2 linked regions of the Oryzias latipes genome follow. The protein of the gene in region 1 interacts with the protein of each later gene in a pairwise test. Links are inferred from orthologs where the notes say so. Each region holds a gene or a part of one and is shown on either strand. Other genes may lie near its edges. The genes, in order: aagab and ap2s1.

Evidence for each region.
Region 2: the proteins of aagab (region 1) and ap2s1 interact in binary tests that used the Homo sapiens proteins (3 or more experiments, as listed by UniProt). The link is inferred for Oryzias latipes from reciprocal best matches to the Homo sapiens genes AAGAB and AP2S1.

What each region holds. Positions count from the first base shown.
Region 1 is NC_019864.2:16,362,265-16,372,524, reverse strand, and holds aagab (alpha- and gamma-adaptin-binding protein p34), read right to left. Parts: upstream 6,779-10,260; 5' UTR 6,688-6,778; coding exon 6,594-6,687; intron 6,348-6,593; coding exon 6,157-6,347; intron 6,067-6,156; coding exon 5,970-6,066; intron 5,726-5,969; coding exon 5,636-5,725; intron 5,540-5,635; coding exon 5,456-5,539; intron 5,363-5,455; coding exon 5,283-5,362; intron 5,152-5,282; coding exon 5,055-5,151; intron 4,949-5,054; coding exon 4,844-4,948; intron 4,727-4,843; coding exon 4,677-4,726; intron 4,572-4,676; coding exon 4,494-4,571; 3' UTR 3,290-4,493; downstream 1-3,289. Other genes in the region: smad3 (mothers against decapentaplegic homolog 3), read left to right, coding at 392-604, 735-872, 970-1,114, 1,982-2,105. UniProt on the Homo sapiens protein: May be involved in endocytic recycling of growth factor receptors such as EGFR.
Region 2 is NC_019871.2:14,619,509-14,629,721, forward strand, and holds ap2s1 (AP-2 complex subunit sigma), read right to left. Parts: upstream 4,946-10,213; 5' UTR 4,794-4,945; coding exon 4,791-4,793; intron 4,348-4,790; coding exon 4,198-4,347; intron 3,531-4,197; coding exon 3,417-3,530; intron 2,549-3,416; coding exon 2,489-2,548; intron 1,937-2,488; coding exon 1,835-1,936; 3' UTR 778-1,834; downstream 1-777. UniProt on the Homo sapiens protein: Component of the adaptor protein complex 2 (AP-2). Adaptor protein complexes function in protein transport via transport vesicles in different membrane traffic pathways.

The sequences.
Region 1 (10,260 bases):
ACAAAGCCCAAAGCGCTTTACAGTCACAGACCCATTCACACATTCAAACACACATTCACACACTGGTGGCGGCTCCGGTGCCGGACACTGGCGCCAACCTACCACCAGAAGCAAGGTGGGGTTCAGTGTCTTGCCCAAGGACACTTCGACTCATGGGCATGCTAGGAGGGAATCGAAACTGCAATCTTACGAACATGGGTCGACCACCCTACCGCTGCACCATGGCCGCCCACATTCCTAAGTCATCAATCAACATCAGCACCTGGATGTGTAAAAATCCAAAATCTTGGACATGTTTTCAGTTTGTGACTTTACACTGAAAAAGTTTGGCCTGAAAGGATTTTACCTCGACAGAAAACCTAAAATCCCTCTTTTATCTGTACCAATCCAGATTTACAGCCAGTGACCTACTGTGAATCAGCTTTCTGGTGCTCCATCTCCTACTATGAGCTGAACCAGCGTGTTGGAGAGACCTTCCACGCTTCTCAGCCTTCCCTCACAGTAGACGGATTCACAGACCCGTCCAACTCTGAACGCTTCTGTCTGGGCTTGTTGTCCAATGTGAACCGCAACTCTGCAGTAGAGCTCACACGCAGACACATAGGTACCCATACTGTGAGGACATAACCTCTGACTTCATATGAATTTTTTGTGTGTTTTTTTTTTTTGTATTTGGGTTTCATATTATCTGCAGCTTGTGTGATGAGGTACACTTGTTTCTGTATGCTTTCCAGGACGAGGTGTGAGGCTGTACTACATTGGGGGGGAGGTATTTGCAGAGTGTCTGAGTGACAGTGCCATCTTTGTTCAAAGTCCAAACTGCAACCAGCACTACAGTTGGCACCCTGCCACTGTGTGCAAAATCCCACCAGGTTAGTGCAAAATCCTCTTACATTAATCACAAATAGCAAAGCTGGATTCAGTATTTTTTTCTCTATCAAAAAGTCTAATTTGATTTTTTTTTTTTAGGTTGTAACCTTAAGATTTTCAACAACCAGGAGTTTGCTGCCCTCCTCGCCCAGTCGGTCAACCAGGGCTTTGAGGCAGTCTACCAGCTCACCAGGATGTGTACTATTCGAATGAGTTTTGTTAAAGGTTGGGGTGCCGAGTACAGGTAAATATTTTCAACTTGTTGCCATCGACCCGATGGAAAAGTACTGCGGAAAAAGCTGTTTAAAGTAACTTTTAAAAACACAAGAACTTATTAAGAACCCCAACAATACAATGTTCATTTGACTTTAAGATTAATCTGTAAACGTTGAATAGATAAAAGAATGAACCAACCAGAAAATCAAGCTTAAGTTCTTTGCTTTTAAAAAAAGAATCAAACCTGAATTTCTATTGTTGTGTATATCAGTGTAGGACAAATCCATATTCCCCCTCTACATTGGGTTGCAGACATCTGTGGTGTTAACTGTTAGTGACCTTCATTACATTCTCAAAAAGAAAATGTCCAAATAAAGACTAAAGTTTGTTTGCTCAAGGTACTCGTTTTAGCTGTTTACAATGATTGCATGCAAACATATTATAATTATTGTCCCACCAATTCCTGCATTCCTTGTGGTGATATATATATTACATTTTGCATCGTACAAAAATGGTTCTTCAGCTTGAGATGGTAACAGAGGAGAACGCAGGAGACATAAAGTGCTGTGAAGAGATTGACATCGGATGGTGAACATATCTGAGACTCTCTTTCCTAGAGGGGGTTCCCCGCTGAATGTCTCATCTAGTCATACGTGTTGTATTTCTGGCACCAAACACCTTAGAGAAAAAACATCTCTGGACTTAAATGACTTCAGAAATAGCTGGTTGAGTTTGTAGCATTGGTGAAGGTACTTATCTACCGTAATTAAAACGACTAGCCCTTGTTTTACTGTAGTTACCTCATCAAATTATCTTGTAGGGAATTTACATTTGCAATAATGTTGTTTAGCACAAAGGTCGTCACATTAATATGTTTTTTTTCTTTATCTTGTAGACGTCAAACAGTGACCAGCACCCCCTGCTGGATAGAGCTACATCTTAATGGTCCTTTGCAGTGGCTGGACAAGGTTCTCACACAGATGGGCTCTCCCAGCATCCACTGCTCCAGTGTGTCTTAGGAAGAGGTCTATTCCCATCCACAATGGAAAGGTTGCATAGATTTTAGATGAGGTAGGGTTAGAAACTCCATTCATCAAAGCCACGATCTCCCATCCTGTGCTGATAGCTTTATTCACTTACGAAACACTGTGACATGGAATTTTACGATTATGTTAGGCCTTATATATGCTTTTGTTGCCAAACATTTGTTCTGTTTTCCAGTTTTTGGATTAAATGGGTTTTTAATCATACATTCAGAGATTAGACATGCCTTAAACCCAGATATCTGTCTACCTCTGTAGATTACCTTGCTTTTTGCTAGTCATTTTTGAGTTTTACTCAATTTTTTATTCGTTTCTCATCTGTCAAACCATAAAATACAATTTCATAAAACATGTGATTTTGTCACCAATTAGAATTTACCCAATAGTCTAAGTACAAAGTACTTCCATGATGATTTACGTAATGAATCAACGCATCATAGATGCATTTGATTTTTTTTTAATTGGTATTTTATCAATGTCAATATTCTATGAAAGAGAAAGCCTCATTATTTCTGTGAAAGAATATTTGTATGAAAACTATTTTCCTTGGTGAAATGTTTTATAATTTATTTTTTGCAAATTCTGCAAAAAATCTGTTTTTATTGACGTTTTCAAAAAAATTAAATATACAATTATTTATAGTCGGTAATTTAACATTGATGAACAGCTTAAAACAAGGGTCCTGACTCTTAGGCCCCTCCTTAACTTGGCCTTCTTAGGTATGCATGTTTGAGCCAGTTCAGCTAGTTTCAGAGTGAACCTCAGGATTAATGAAGTTTAATTTGTATTTATTATCTACAGAGTGCTTTGAAAAGGAATAAAATAGACATAGGAAACCTTAAATCAGAAAAACACTGACAATAGCTGACGTCTTCATTTTCTTTCTTTGATTTTGATTTTAATAACACTGAAGCCAACATAATTTGCCTCATTTATTGGTTCTATAGAAACTGCAAGACTGTTCAGCTTTTACTTCTTTGTAATTTTCAACTTTTTTACATAATATTGTGGGGATAAAGGTATAAAATAATTTGATGTTTTACTCCTGTCCTTTACTTGTAATGTCTTATAAGACCAAAAAAAAGAAACTGGTGAAAATAAATATAAGTAACAATTATAAGTTACAATCTTTAGTCCATACTCTGTAATGAAAGTCAAAGTTTATGTAAAAAGTATTTATTTTTAATCGCAGCTTTCTGATTTGGGCCTCTTTAATGAACCAACACAGTGGATTGAATCTTGACATTTTGTTCTTATTAAGGAGGTATGCTATGACAGGTGAAAGTTTTTTTCATCAAGAACAAACTTTCCTTATTTATCCCGAACAGTAAATCCTGCTTGTGGGTAAATGATGCACTTCCACAGAAATGTGTAGAAAAGCTTTAACTGTTGCTCTGATCTGCTTGTGCAATAAACACTGTGTGCTACTTATGCATTATCATAACATAAGGCATTGCTCACTGTCCTTGCTCTGATGCAAACATGTTAATCTCGCACTTTCAGTACCGAGTCATGCAATCTCTAATTGTATGTATTGCAAATACTCAATGCATTTGGTAGTTAGTAGATCTGTTCCTGATTAATCACAATCGGTTTCTCAATTCCAAGTCTAGACACTTTTTTTGTGACCACTGTTACAAAGTGAAATTTTATTAAATAAAATGCATTGTTAAGATGTTTACCATCACTAAAACAATAGTAACTCTTTGTCATGTATGCAGACGACTTTGTGATATTCATTAAGAAAAAAATGCAGACAAATGCAAAGCTTTTAGGAATAAGTTTGATATTTTTTGAGATGACACATTTTCAGTGAAGTTAACAAATCACCTAAATGTAGCAGTATAGTTTTATAGATTCACTCTAACACAGCATATTGGTTTACCTTTTGATTAGTTACTTCTGCAGTAATAACTTATGTAGTGAGACACTGTTTACATTAGTTATGCTGCACCCATTACAAAGATTTACATGATTTTAAGAACTTTCAGGATTTCCCTTTTAGATTTAAACAATTCAAAAGGTAAGGCCAATATATATGAAAAATTTGTGTCTACTATATCCAGATTAATGCATGAAGCTCAAACATTTGTATGACTTGCATTACTGTCATGTATTGAGGTTCACACAGAGCTCAAGCATTTTGTGGGACATTGAGAAGACAAGTTTAGAATCCACCCACTAGGACATGTTACTTCTCAATTACTTTTGAAGAGTCAAATGCTTTTAAATGCTAATAAGCTTACAGGATCAACTATAAGCATCATCTTATACGTGGGAATAGGGAATCAATAGGAACAGAATCTTGTGAAAGCTACAGGTCAGCAAGAAAGATCAAGAGAGACTTTTTTTTCCTTTGTTTTCTTAGCTTTCCTCCCCAGATGATAGTCCACCTATTTCATCTTCATCACCACCAATGGCCATCCAAAAGGCTTTTGCCACCTGAAATTGAGAAAAGGATTGTAAAAAAAAAAAAAAAAAAAAAAAAAAACCTCCAGATAAATTCTCTGATCTGTTAGACGTTGTTAGAAATTGAAAGATGATGACCTTCTCTGCATGAACTTTTCTTTGTTCATGTGGTAATGAAGACGCTTTATCTGCACAACAAAAATATAAATCAGATTAACCAAGCTTGAAATCTTGAAATTAAGTTGGACATTCAAATCATTGATGGAAAAAAAGAGCCAAAGAAGTTTTTTTCATTTCCCAATCACCTTTCATTTCCTTTAGTTTAGTGAACAGGCGCTCAAAGTTGTCCACATCTGCATCTCCAGCTGTGAGATTGGCAAGCTCCTGAATATCTAAATCCGTCATTGCATCTGTAAGGATTGGCAAAATAGGAATTATAAGTGTAACTTGTTGTCCTGACTGGATGTATATAATGCTCTGGGAAATTAGTTTGAAAAAACAAACATGGTTATTTACCTACAACAGTGTCCTGCTGTCCATCTGTGTTTACTCGGCTGTCTGTCTGGTTAGTCTCCTCATTAGAAGGAGGACTCTCTTCTGGTAAACTGGGGGGCTACCCCAGAAATAACATTACAGGATTGCATTAATTCCCCAAATCTATGCATATAAGTAATTAAGGAGTGATACATGTGTACATAGTTTGAAACAGCTAGTATAAAAAAAAGAGAAAGAATTAACACTCACTGAAGGATCCTGGCGGCTAAGTGGGTCGTTGTGTCTGGATGCCACCAAACTGCTCATTAAATTAAAACCCTGATTGTGTCCTGGAATGAAAAAGTATGAACTGTCACATTCTCTCCATCCTACAGACAAAACCATAACGGCATCCAAAAATACATCATCCAAAAATATATTACCATCTTTCATCTCCACACTTGACCACACATTAGCATTCAGAGCCTGAACTATTCTTTTAACTCCCGTGGATTCTGGAAAGTCATCTGAAAAGAAAAGAAAAACAAAACAAGTGTGTCAATATAAAACAAACTCAAATGGAACTCATTAACAATTGTAATTCTGCTGTTTGTCAACGTTACCATCTTCATCTGGAAGCTCCTGAGGATTAAGCTCTACAAGTTCAAACGCGTGAGCCAAACACCACTGCTGTGCTTCATGCCTGGTGACACCTACAACACGTTTTGTCCGTGAGATGGGATATAGCATTTACTCGAAGGATTTTTTTGTGTACCATTGATTTGATTTATTGGTTTATTTTAAACATTAATTTTAGACGGTAAGACAACAAAAAAAGAAAAAAAATCACACATATATCAAACTCATTTGAGATGTAAAGAATTTAAAACAGAAAACAGTGCTTATTGATCATCCTCAGAAAATGTTAAATATTTTATTCAAACAGAATTGACTAACCATCTTCACTGACTCTGTCACACACTAGAATGAGGACTTCAGGAGCAAGATCTGCTACCACTGATATCCAGGGGTTGAGCTTTTCTAAGCCACCCTTCTGTAAATGACAAACACAAATGTCTTTAATTTCATGATGATGTGATGATTAGCACGTGCAACTTAAATGTTTAGATTTTGAGATACATACCGTTTTACTATCGAAGTAAGCAATAAAAGCCTGCATAGACTGGGCAATTTCTGAGGACATTTGAGTGATTCTTGGTACAGTACACAGTCTGACATCTGCCGTATAATATTTGTTGTTGATGATCCAAGGATACCAGGCGACTGCTTCCCTTCGCTTTGTCGGCTCAGGTAAAGTCCTCGAATTAAGGATTTCTAAAACAAAACGCAGAGTTAGCAACAAAGTAAATGATGACAGCTAGCTTCTTCAACATTTTTGCAATATTGGCTATGCCAACACAAACATGCAAAAGCGTTTGACTCGACTGCCTACTCTAAAAATAAACAATAGCTCTAAAAGCGTAATATTCAAGCGAAGGCATTTATATCTGTCATCTACTGTGCTAAGGTAAGCTAGCTTCCTTTAATTTTGGGCTTCCTTCCAATCCTAAGAGTACTCACGTTTTACCAGCTCTTCTTCCTTAAAGTCACTATCAGAGCTAGTGATTAGGACACACGGAAGAGTCACATCAGTATTGTCTTCTGCCGCTGACATTTTGCAAAAACAAATGTAAATAGAAAAAGCTCGTCTAGCTTCCTGCTAACGCTAACAAATTTTGATAACCTTTCAACTCTGATTGTCAAGCTGCGTCACTTCCGGAACAACGTCACGACAAACCTGTATTCTACAAATGTTCCATTAAAAAAAGTCATTAGTATTGCCAGTTTGTTTAAAAAATGTATATAAATGATATATTATATTATATTTTTTAAATGTATTCTGTAAAGGTTCGATAAAAAACAGGAAAAACGGAAAGGAGAAAGGGAAAAAATAATGTAAATAATAGTAATCCATCTTTTCTGGTATTGCCGTTTTATTCTGGAAAGATGTTTTGTTGGGTCTTATATCAAAGAATATAAAAAAAGACTGGTTTGCTTTTAAATCTCTTGCTCATTATGGTCAAATTTCATATCCACAAATATAAATTCTATGGTCGAAAACCTTGTTTCATTGAATTCTTTTCGGAGATCAATTTGTGTTGCACTTGCAGTACACATTTTATGTATGTTTTTTCAGGTACAAGAGGATTTGAAGCAATCCAGAACTCATCTAGAGAAAATTCCTGACTCAGAGAAAACCACAGGACTAGCCCCAGACATGGGGGTTCACCAAGGGACACTTCGGGGTGAAGCAGCTTAGAGTTACAAAAGCAATGACAAAATCTATGGTTCACAGATACAGTGGAGTTTCTTGCTGATAATACATATTTTCTTTATTTGACAACATAAACAAGCTAAGGTGTATTTGAAAACAGTAAAAAAAAACTAAAAGGCAGGTACTGGTACTTCCATTCACTAAAGATTTGCAAATACCATGGTAAGGTTTCTTGTGTATTATAAAGTTCTACTGAGGCATCATGGATGCTGAAAAATAAACTTCCACAGGAAGTCTCTTGTGAAGAGTTTTTCAGATGTGCAACAAAAGAAAGATGACTGTTGGGTTAAAACAACCTGCAACTTCAGAACAATTCAAAAAGGAAAGAAAGACAAACAGACCTTCCAGCAATCTCGCCTAAAGAAAAGGGACTTTTTTGATCTATTTTATATAAATGTAACTGAAAACTAAGAGATAATGCAAGAAAAGATAGATTAACAGTCTTTATTGATGGAAAAGTCATATTTTTACATTGATTCATACATTTTGCAGCTGTACAGTAGTGTACAGTAGAGAGTACAGTAGTTAACGGACACTGTTTTTTGGAAATGTTCCAGGGTTAATTCAGGGAACACTTTTTTGTTTTTTATAGTATATTGTATAAATATTCTTTAACCTTTCAAAACTTGAGTGATGGACATGTCATATAATGTCAGACACAAAATATTGATTACTCGGATGTTAGTTAAGTGAATAACTTTTGTTTCACAATGCAAGAATGTTTTGAAAGAAGCTTTATGGGGCATCTTTGTTGTGATCTGTGCATTGGGGAAAACAACCCCTCCACAAAAGGATGGCACACCACAGAGAAGCCCCAATATCAGGCCAGGACTCAGAACGTCACCTGCACCTTAAAGTCAGAATGGAAAATCAAGAGAAATGGGGTCTGATACATTAGCTGTCCCCCAAGAACTATACTGTTTTGACATCTTTTCCCAAAAGACCAGGGTCCCATTCCCACCTGCCGCACAAAAACAATAAACCACTGAGTGCCACCACCTCTGAGCCTCACCAAGAGCCCCAGCAAATATTAGGACATGACATCCATTTTGATGATCTCCGGAGCGTTCATATTTGCATCTACTTACGTGGCCTCTACTTATTTTAATAGAACTCTCAAGTAATCAGGACACAATTAATCTGAATTCCCCATCAGCAGTTACAGCTAAAGAAGCTGCGCAGATGAGCAGGGAAATGTTTTCCAGATCAACCTTTTGACATCCATTTGCTCCGAAGAACAGGGTTTGCTCATTTGATCAACTCTATTCATCTGCTTAAAAGTTTTTGCTGACCTTGACTGCAACTTTACTCCATAAAAAAAATCTAATGATGAGTTTTGGATGAGAAAATATTTTAGGGATGTTGTTGTTTTTTTATTTTTTTTTTAAATCTTACTGTGTTAATCAGAAAAAACTGATTATGACACAGTAAAGACTGATGGTACATGTCTACATTTATAGATACCTCCAGTCCCATGCACTAAAACGCAATGACTTCAAGGTCACTTGACTCATAGATGACATCCAGCACTTGTCACAGGAAGGAAATTAATCATCGCAAAGTTGACAATAGCTTTAGATTTATCTTTACACTCTTTTTTTTTCCCCCAATATGTTTTTTGTAATCTGTATCTGACTTGAGAAATGAGGGCCAAGACTGCCACTCTGCTACAGGAGAGATGGAAGTGCTGGCTGCAGAGAGCGGAGAGCAGCAGATTGTAGCACATCAGCATTCTTCTAAGGAAACAGGTGCCTGATTGCTGCGCTATGGGCGAGTGGTTTACAGCTGTCTCCAGACAGAATCGACTACCTGGTCTAGCATGCCAATAAGACAGCCGTAGCTTCCCCAACTGCTAACCACTGGCTCTCTGCCTGCTGCAGCCTTCTGCAACTCACTCCAGCTCTTTTCTGCTACCAGCTTTTGCCAAAAAATGAGCTTTTGCATTTTTGCAATTTTACAAAAGGTTGCCCTTTTCCCAGCACCATCTGAAACAGATGTGTGCCTTTAAGGGGAGAATCTAACAGCACCTGGCTACTACCTGCATTCTGTCAGAACGCTCAGTGGTCTGAGGAGAACAAAGGAGAGGACATAAGAGATGTCAGGAAAGTAGTCTGAAGGAGTTTTATGAGTAAATAAAAGGTAAAGAACTAGAGTTTATAGTCAGAAAAGTCAAAATGTTTTTTTTATCATGACATATCTAAAATATATTTTAGGTATTCTTTAAAACTAAAACACTTTTCAATGATAAAACCTGGTTTAAAAATATTTCTTATTAATATTTAGGCTTTGTGGTTGCTAAAAGGTTTTAACCATGTTACAAAGTGATATTTTGCAATATTATAAAAACATTTGAGTCCAAGATAAAAAGTGTTGAATTAAAAAAAAAAGGAAAAGGAAATGGACAAGGAAATGTCCTTGTCATCTGACATATAATGTTATTGTTCAGGACATGTGACACGTTTATTTATCATTTATCATATTTTTTTCTCTTTTGAACAAAAAAACTCTGTAATAAGATTTCAGGTTTTGTAACCAAGGGGAACATCACACCCCATCAACCCATCAAAACCAGGTTAACTGACAGCTCTCTACAACTTATGTCACTCTCAGGATAAAATACTACCAACAGGTTATACTTAGCAGCAATGCTTAGATGTTTTAATGAAATATATAACCTTTATTTTGAAGTAAAGTACAAAGTGTTGCCCTTTTTGTCATTTTAAGTGTTTTATGTGTTCACAGTTGTGAAACAAAGATGTCCTTGTTAGTCAGTCCAGCAAAAACCTACAGTTCTTGACACAAGAGAAAACATACACGTTCATAAAATTGGTTAGTTTTTACAATTAGTTTAGTTACAATGCTGCAAAAAATACACAATGAGTTGATGTCATTGATTTTATTAAATGCCTGATA
Region 2 (10,213 bases), on another chromosome or scaffold:
TTTTTTTTTGGCCTGCCGCTGCTGGATTTTCTTTTTCCTCAACCTACTTTTGAATCACTTTCTACAAACACATGCAGCACAAGGGATGATCCTACAAACGACAGCAGGTTGTGCTTTGTTTTTGTAGATCCCCCTCTATTAAGGTTGGCTTTTCCCCAAACGTTGCCGATTGGAAGGGATGCACAGGAAGTGATGACTCTATCCTTGTAAGTCATCGTTGCCCTTCAGGTTTGTTTTCTAAACAGGCCTTTAGAGAAGGGGAGAAGAAAAAAGTGTGCGTGTGTGCACACTGAAGGGTAACTATAATATAGAACTGTCCAAAGTATGTAGAGTCCATTCGCAGGTATTTGGGGTTTTCCTCCTCTGAAAGTGCACTTTTATTTTCAAAATGTCATGTATGTTTTGTTTATATACTGTATCAAAAGAATTGTACATTTTATTTTAAAAGTCTAAGTAATAAAGATTTTGATTGTAGAGGGTTTCTCCTCCTTTGAGCCACTTGCCTCAAAAGGTTTCCAGCTTTGTTAGGATATCAGAAGGCTTATGTAATGAGTAAATAAATACAGGTCGTTTTTCTAATTAGTTTAATGCTCTTAAGTTGAAAGATTAAGTGGTTTAATGAAGCTGAAATAGATATATTGACTGGTTTATTGACCCGAGACTGGCTTGAGATGACATCACATTCATGTTACTGTTTGGCCACTAGATGGTGCTGCCAGAATTTAAATGTATTTTTTATAACACTGTACACATTTTCTTTGAAGAAATAACAGAAAAGCTGAACGATAAATCTGTTTATTTACACAAAATGGGACTGCTGATGTAGGCAGCTGAATTTAAGACAGTAACATCTTCCATTAGCACTCTATCAAATGCCAGGTGGGTACATAGTTCAATATTGTCTTCATGAAAAACCCAAAGTCTAACATGTGAAGCAACTAAAGGTAAAAATATGGGATTTCACCAGAAATGATAGTCCAAAGGGACAGTACTTTAAATGCACATATGACACTGTTGGAATGTATTAATCTCAAATGAGTTTATATTTTTGAAGATTAATCTTCGTGACCAATCATTTCACAATACTCACAGACAACACTGTTTACACAGATCACACAAAGCAAACCCAAAGTAGTGCTTCACATAAAACCCGCCTGTTTGTTCCGGATCGTTTTAAATGTTAACAGTGACCAAAGAGCACCGTTTTGATTGACAATCCTGCATTGTACCACCCTCTTACAAGCTCTGGCATCAGTCACACACATCTGCATATGTAAGCATTACACATGAACACAAGAGAACTATAAATGCCACCTAAAGACATTATTTTGGATAAACAGGCTACTTCAATCAGAGATAAGGTAAAGGGAAGGTGGGCCTGGCCTGAGTTTATGGGGCTTCTAAATTCTAGTGCCGCTAAAGAATTGCTTTGTTTAATGTGGGAATGAGAAGACTGCCGTCACAGTTGCTTCTGACAAATGCCATAAATGAAAAGATAACTGTGGAGAAGAACTCATTTCTGCAGCCTTTGGCTGTAGAAAAGCAAAAAAAAAACTCAAAGAAACTTGAAATGCTGACACGTTGAAATGTAGTGAAAGACGTCTTTTAAAACGATTCAGAAGGTTAGATAAAAAACTGCAGGGAAAAAAAAAAAAACGGCTGATTGGATATCTAAAAGTGGATGTTGTGTAGTCCTCGTCCACATGCCTGTTGTCACTTGGCATGTTGAAAAACTAGAGGATTTGTATATGAAGTGACATTACACATCAAAGTATTTGTATTTATATATATTTTTTGGATGTCCGGTGGGCAAGAAGGACAGAGGATTTTGTTTTTACTCAAGTGACTGAAGCATGAGAAGCTGCTTAAGGACCTTGGTCTGACTGGTCTCCCTGATCTCTCCTGCCAGGAACATCTCGTCCACTACTGTGTACACCTTGGAGGGGAAAAAACATAACAGACAAGGTCAGAAATGAGAAAGAAAAAAAAAAGGAAAAACCAAGAGTTCACGGGAAATTAGGTCACAAACTGAGCAAAATTGCTTCTCTTAAAAAATGCTTCCATTCCAAACTGAAAAACAATCTGTCAGCTTCTTAAAAACAACATTTTTGACATTCAAATGTTCAAAAAAATGTTCAACATAATTGATCCATTAAAGGAATACAGACCAGAATTCATGCTTTGAACATTTTAATGTTATAAATGTATCACTTCACAGCTTGTTAGTATCTTGGCAATAATTTGGAAGAACAAAACAGAAGAATAAGTGAATTAACTAACCATAGCAGAATGTTCTGAACAGGGGAACAAGGGAAGTTTGGAAATGTTCATTTAACTGAATTTTCAATCCAGGGGAGTTCATCCAAGTTTTAAACAGATAAAAAGGAAATTCTGTTGACTTGTCCTTCTGTTTATACTTTCTTGTACGAGGCATTTGTAAAATAAGTCAAAAGCAAATGGACAAATGATGATTTTCAAGTGCTCTTACCTTGTAGAAGTTGAAGACCAGGTCCAGCTCGCACACATTGTGGAAATACTCGTTCAGGACCTTTTAGAACACAAAGGAAACATCCTAAGCTTCATTCAGGAATCGGGAAAGACTCATGAGCAACATTTTGGGTCTCAGCTTGTTGAGAGGACAGCACACAGACTAATGAAGTGTCACTACAGACTGTTAAACTCATGGAAGTGACCGTTCTCCTTCTTCAAGCTTTCCAAAGCAACTGAATTAGCACAACACTGTTAATAACATAAATTACCATCAAATCATTGCCCATTAAATCTATTTGTTTGGAAGTTCACTTGAGGATAATTTATCCATTTGCTGATATTCACGTAATTCATTTTTTTTCTACATGTTGCTCACTTTTTGTTTTTAAAATTCAAAACAGATTACATTGTTGTCACAAGGAGATCCCAAACGATATCGTCTTATTAAATCTAAAATGATGTCTTTGGGTAAACTATAACTTTACCCCATGGAAATGGTATCTGTTAATGAATATTTTACAATTAATATAAATGATCTCAAGATAAATGTTGCATGATAAACTTTTAAGGGGTATGGTCGGGTTAAAACAAAACTTCATTTTTTCAATATATTGATTCATCAAATCTATAAACTGATTTTCTTTTGAAGCAACTTTTTTCAAGGGAAAACAAAACATTTTTTCAGCTATTTTTATTTGTAAAGTTTTAGAACAACCTATCCTTCTGAAAGTGTTAATCAAAATCTTACAAAATTGTTTTTAGGCAGAAATATAACATAAAACTGGTTGGAGGAATGATACATCATCAGTTTTTAGGCAAAACCCAGTCCTAGAAAATGATAAGTAAAAGGGAAAAAAAAAGGTCAGACACACGAAACACATTTGACCAGGATAACAAAATGATCAGAGCACATTATGTGTACTCACCTCCACAAAGTTGTGAATTCCCTCAAGGTATGCCAGGTTGTTATCAGTCACGTCCACACAAATGCAGAAGTAAAGCCCAGCATAACGCCGGTAAATGATCTTAAAGTTCCTGAACTGTGGGAACAAAGTGGAATCAGCCTGTTAATAATAGAGTTTCTCATATTATGACAACAGCAGATTTACTGGGGTATAGGCTCCCAGACTTTGAGGCAAAACACACCATGATAATTTTATGTTTATCATAAAAAAAATAAATGTGGTACAAACATATATATTCATCTTTATATCCATATTTAATAAAGAAATGGGAGGATTTGAAGCGGGATGTTTTTTTGCAGCAGCAGAAACAACTTTATTTGCTTATACAGAAACAGGGGAAAAAAATAAAAAATGAGTTAAAAAATCCCCCTGGGGTTTTTGAATAATTAGAGAAAATCTGTTAGCTGCTCCTCAAAACTACAATTATACAAACTCAAATAGAATTTGAGATGTATTTTCAATCACTTTTAGTTTCATATCAGGTAAAAACTTGCTGATTCAACAAAATGTATTTGCTGTGCGTTTGAATAATTTTGAGCTTGATGATGGAAGCATCTTGAGTCATAATTCTAAGTAATTTGCACGTGTTTGCACCAAATCTACTGAAGCATCGGTGAAGGCTGACAATTTAAGCTATATTTTCTTCTTTGAAAAACAGTCATCTACACTAGTTTTATCAAAGAAATCGAGCTAAACGAACACTGAACCACTGCCTGACAACATGAATAGTAAACTTCTTTACCTCCACGAAGTTGGTGTGTTTGGCATCTCTGACTGTAACCACAGCATGTACTTCCTCGATCAGCTTTTGCTTTTCATCATCATCAAACTGCATGTACCATTTGGCCAACCGGGTTTTTCCTGCCCGGTTCTGGATGAGAATGAACCGGATCTTTGGGATTAAAAAGAAAATAAGTAAGCAAGGCATAGCTATTTTTAAATCAAGAAATCAAGAGAAATGCGTAGCAGACGCCACAAATAAAGTGTAGCAGTTAATTCAATTCCAGAGATTAAAACATCCACAAATTTTCGAGGGCTCCCTCCCTGACTTAGTTAGTTAACGTTCTTGGCTAATCTGACAGCGGCGTTACATTAGCATTTGCCTCCCGACAGAAAACTGCGAACAATTTAATTGCTATAGAATTCATAAAATATGAATAATTTCTAAATAGGTTGTATTCCTTGTTTTGTTTTTTTGTTTTCTGAAGTCTAGCAAAGGCTGTCAAGTGACTCATTGAACGGCATATCGGTACGAATCCCACCAATGCTAGCAATTCAATGTTGAAAGACTATGGGTGGAAAAAACAAAACATGGAGGAAAAAAGGCGACGTTACCATATTCGTCTCCTTAGCAGAACCTTTGGTGACAACAATATCGAGTTCCTGAGTAACAATTTAGTGGTTTTACATTAAAAAGCAGTTATTCGGGCGAGAGCTCGTCGGTTATCTGCACTAGCTAACAGGAAAAAGGAAAGCTTCGTTGATTTGTGGTGCACCATGGGAAATGTGTTTTTAACGGTTGGATAAGAACTCCTGGAATGTACCAGGAAACTACAAACACCAGTGTTCATTTTTTAAGAACTTGTCCAGTTCTCAACAAGTCACATGATTTGCAATGGTTTTTTTATGTATCAGTTTTTCAGTTTTTTTTAACACCTTCTTTCTTTAGCAATGCACACTTTTTTGTGTTAAATATTTACACATTGGCGGGTTTTAGACATGGACATAGCGGTCAATCGACCAAGAGCTCTTGCTGCAAATAAATAAATAAAATAAAATAAAGAAACAAAAAACCAGGTTTTAAAACCGTGTATATTTATTAAAAGGGCAAAGCATTTTTTTTATACATGTCAATCTCTGTTATGGCCTTTTTAACAACCTGTCCAGGATGTACTTTGCCTTCACCCAACAGTAGCTGGGATAGGCTCCAGCAGCCCTGTGACCCTGAAAGCGATACAACTGGTGAAGAAGTAGGATAGAATGATACAATGTTAGGTGCAAATCATGGGGACTTCTAAAATATTTGGAGCTCTCTCCATACCTGTTAGTAGTCAAAAGGATGAGCCAGACAGTTCCTCTTTCATACAGCAGGTGTCTTCAAAATCCCAAATGCCAAAGGGTGTGAATCCAGACTCTTCCAATTTCACTTCCAATTTCATTTCTCCTGAACACAAGTGTGGTGAAAGGAAGGAAACATTTTCTTTTTCCTTTTTTTTGCGGAGGCAGAGGGGGGCGAAAGTCAAGGTAGAACTGCCACAGACACTACAGCAGCCATGGCTACAGACGAAAATAACAAAAGTCTAATTTGTATAGTATTCAATATTGTTTCATAACGAGTTAACTTTGGAATAAAACCCTGGTCTTTTTTATGTATTTGCAATTTAACATATTTTCCTCTTTTATAACTGCAAAGGAGAAATGTGGACTTCCTGATTTAATTTAAATGCTTGGGGAGACTGGGATTATCAGATATTGCACAACTGCAGCAGAAGGAATGTGTTTCCCCAAGGACCCAGCAAAAATTCAGCTGCAAATGTTGAAGAGGTTGAGGTCAGATAGGAAAAAAAACATGTTTATTATAAATAAACTACAATAAAGAGAAGAAAAAAGCCAAAAATCCTTTGTAAAAACTTTTTCTTCTAGTTATTTCTTTCAGCAATGTTTTGGTATATGTGTAAAAAAAACAGCGGAACTCTGTTAATGTTTTGTAAAAAATAAAATATCTTAAATAGCATTGTAATTTATTAGTTCAAGTAGATTGCTTATACTGTGCCTTGTCTGTGTTGAAATAACCGAAAATGGATTTGAAAACAGAAGCAGATCGTTCAACAGAAACTTTGACCCATGTTAATCTTTCTTTGCAGTGGGGTCATGCAAATATTGCTAAAAACATTAAGTGATACGATTGGACAGAAAACCAAATGTGAGCTTTTAACCCAGCTTGAACATGTATTTTTTTGGTGGCATAACTCTCTCAAAATATGTATAAACACTCACTTTATTACAAATTCCCATCCCATGAAAAAACAAGGCAACTCACCCCCTGATAACAGTCATTAAATTTTACATTTGTCTTGTTTTTTCCATTGCAGGGTGGTTAAAATTAAAATAAAGTTTAAGCTTTTACTGTTATTTAAAAAGCAAACTTCAGCTTTAATGTTCTTGTTGTCACAAGTTGAATAGTTTCTCTTCAAACTCAGTCATGTAAAGAATGGTGAGAGGTAAATTCACTGACCTTGTTTTTGCACAACATGACCAATTTGAAAAAGTAACCAAAATATTTTTAATTAATCCTTTTGGATTGAAAATTTTAGTTGGCTTTTAAAGTAGGCCCACTTCATTCCGCTTTCAAATAACAGCCTGCATTTTTGCATCAAATGAAACATTTGTGCTCATCGTACATGTTTAAGTCTGGATTGGGCTGTTGGAAGACGTTGAGGGAGGGGCAGAGTCACAGGGAATTCATTCCGAACAAGGTCCCGCTGCAAAACATTAAACATCTGTTTGAGCTCTTAGCTTGTTGTCTTTACAACAAATCAGACAATTCTTAGTTGTTATACTGTCCTCCTTAGAGACACAACTTAATTATCATTCAGTGGCTGAACTAATCACAATGCAAACATCATCAAATGATTCTCCTAATAGATGACTTTTCAAATCCAATTGAAATGATTCGATTTTACCTTTTTTTTTTTTTTTTTTTAACTTGTCCTGTCCAACAGCTAGGCAAACAGATGAGAGCTGAGGGCCTCTTGTGTTGGACATATTTTATTTTAACAAGAGGGGTTATTCATCTTCAGACAAACCAAAGGTATGTCTGAATAAACCCCTTTTGTAATTGAGGCCAAACTTTATTAATTTCAATCATGTTTGAAAATCTTTGGTGTTGGACCGGACGGAAAAGGAAAGAGGGGAAGAAGAGAGAGGGACGTTAGAGAGAGAGGGGGGTAGGAGGGTGATAATAGGAGGGGAAGGGGGGTAAGACCATGAAGCAGCATAGAGCAGACAGGTTTACTGGTTGTTTATCGTTACGGTACGGTTCAAATGTAGTACAAAAAGGGCGATTTTACCTTTGACGGGACTGTTTTTTTACTTCTTGATTAGACTGATTGGACAAATCAATGTCCAACGTGGTTGTGTTTATTTTTTAACATTTGTGGCCCTGTTTAGTACTCAGAGTTTTTGTTCCTGCTACAAACCCTGCTTGTGTTTCATTCTCTTGTGGCCGCGCTGTTTCCAATTGCTATCACTTTGCTTCTTGGTGTGGTCACTTTGTGTCTTGGAAGATAATTTACGTTTATTTATGACTGCTTTCGTTTTCCTCTCTGTTTCCTTACGATGAAACAAAGGACTTTTCAGACTTTTGTAGACCCAGAAGGTCATTTACACCTCCTCAGAGGTAGACACCAAACTTAAGTGAATAAAAGTTTTTTTTAACTCTCCCTCGACCCTCCAACAGCCTCAGAGTTCAGATGAGAGCCACGTGAGGAGTTCAAAGTTAAAACCTACTCTTTTAGAGGTTATTCCAGTTAAGCAGCATACTGTGACTTTATCTTTACTAGTATTTCATTTGACATTTTGCTTTAAAACTGTCTAGGTTGGCTCCTGAAATGTGCATTGTTTTTTTCCCTCCTGTCTAAACACAAGCAGGGAGCCTCTTGCATTGGACAGATACTATTGTTGAACATGGTGTATGAGTTGTTGAGCCTTTACTTTATATTTATGAGTTATTCAATAATAACTGTTTAATATTTTAAGTTAAATGTGTTACATTTGAATCTTATTTGTTTTTATGTTGATCTGATTTGAAAAGTATTCATTTGTGTCACTGTATTTTTTATATATTGTAAATTTTATGAAGTGCACAAGTTGTTTTTATTTTTTAAGGATAAAATGTACAATTTAAATATGAAAGGTGTGTACTGTACCTGGGTATCACATTTTGACACACTTATTTTGTGTTTCGAGAATAAAAACTGTCTTTTGCCATGTTAGTTTTGCACAGTAAAGTAGTGCAACTTAAATTCAGGTAAATGCTGACACATTTAGCTTGTTTTAGTTTCTGTCCTCTGTGGTAAATGTTGGTTGTTTCACCCCTGTTTGGGACTTGTATTATTATTTTTGGAAAAGTCTACATCTTTGGCTAAATGACACTGATGCCAACCAGGTTAGACTTGTTTCTTTTTTTTCAAAGCTACTATTTGCAACAGCTGTTTTGCTTTACCATTAAAAAAAACCTATGCATATTTCTAATTCAGACTTTTCAGATTTTTTTTAATTGCTTATAAGACAAATCATCTGGTGGGTTTATTTTTTTGTAGTAATGAGTCTTGGCAATACAGTTTTATTTCCTTTTTAAACAGACCCACCACTGCAAGTGTTGAGGCCCTTTTACCCAATTTTTCAGTCTAATAAACAAAACCACTTTCTAAAGTGCGAGGAAAGTTAGATACCAGACACAACATTTCATCACTTTTTGTGCCATGTTTTTATTGAAAAATCAATGTTGCTCCATGGTGTGTTGTTGTGTACTGTCAGGCATCGCCAGTACCAACAGCGTGCTTGTTGTAGTTGTGTCCACGAACCACTGGGCGAGAGTCTTTCTGTGAGCAGGAGTGGAGATGCTGGATTCACAAGGTCCGCCATTATTGGGAAGCCGGAAAAAAAAAAAGAAGCGAAGGGAGTGAGGGGCAGAGGGATAGACAGAGCGCGTCACACATTTTCTCCAGCGAACGGCTCTAGTACATCAGAAAGGAGATCTCGGGGCTTCCTCGCGCGCCTCCGCACGCGGAAAACACCGTCCCGCTGATTTACGGACGCTTTTGGGACCGCGTTTCCTGCCGACTCTTGTGTTTGGGACTCGACAGAGGCGAATGAGAATCGGTCAAAACAACGTGGTGGCGGAGCCAAGAAGGGAAAACACACCGAAACAGCGCTCTGCAACGCCTCCCATTTTTTTCCTCTTCGTAATACGTTTGCAGTCGCTGTGAAAGGACGCGAGTTTGAGGGACATTTTCCCCCCGCTGCTAATTTAATCAGTATGATGTATTAGTTTATTTCCGATTCAGAGACAGCAATCCTCCACTTCACTTGTCCAGAAACTTCAAACAGTCATTTCATGTCTGCGGGAGCAGACGGGCAGACAGCGTGTTTACCAGACCAACTGAAAATAATCGATGTGAGTTTTTAGGGAAGCGTTTCCCCTCCCAAACACACACGTTTGTGTTTTAAAGTCTTTTCCCAACTGAGGAGCACGGATGAAGAACCGAAGCGCGAGACTGGACTGATTTGGTACGTAGACGCTCCTTATTTCCCCTTTCAACGGCGTTCATGTAACAATTAGACAGTTTTTTCAGAGGAAGAGAAGCATTTAAGGGCGAACATGGACATTTTTCCTCACCTGCTGCTCCAGTTGCGCCAAAGTCCAGGCAAAATCGAGAAACTGGGAGTCGACCTCATTTCGCTTGAGGGCAGACATGATTTTATGGCCCCCAAGTACCTCAAAATGATCATAATTATAATACTTAAGATGATGCTCGGGGTGTATACTTAATAAAGCAGTTTGTAGGGCAAGTCAGGGTAACCATGAGCTTGTTAAATGTTAAATTTAGAGAATAAAGCTAAAAAAAACCTGGTTCTATCCAAACATTAAATTGTTTATACAACAAACACCTGGAATGCATTGGTCTTGTCAGGCCTGGGGAAACTCCACACCATGTCATACTTTAAAAAAAAAAAGTGGGGTGAGGGGGTGGGAC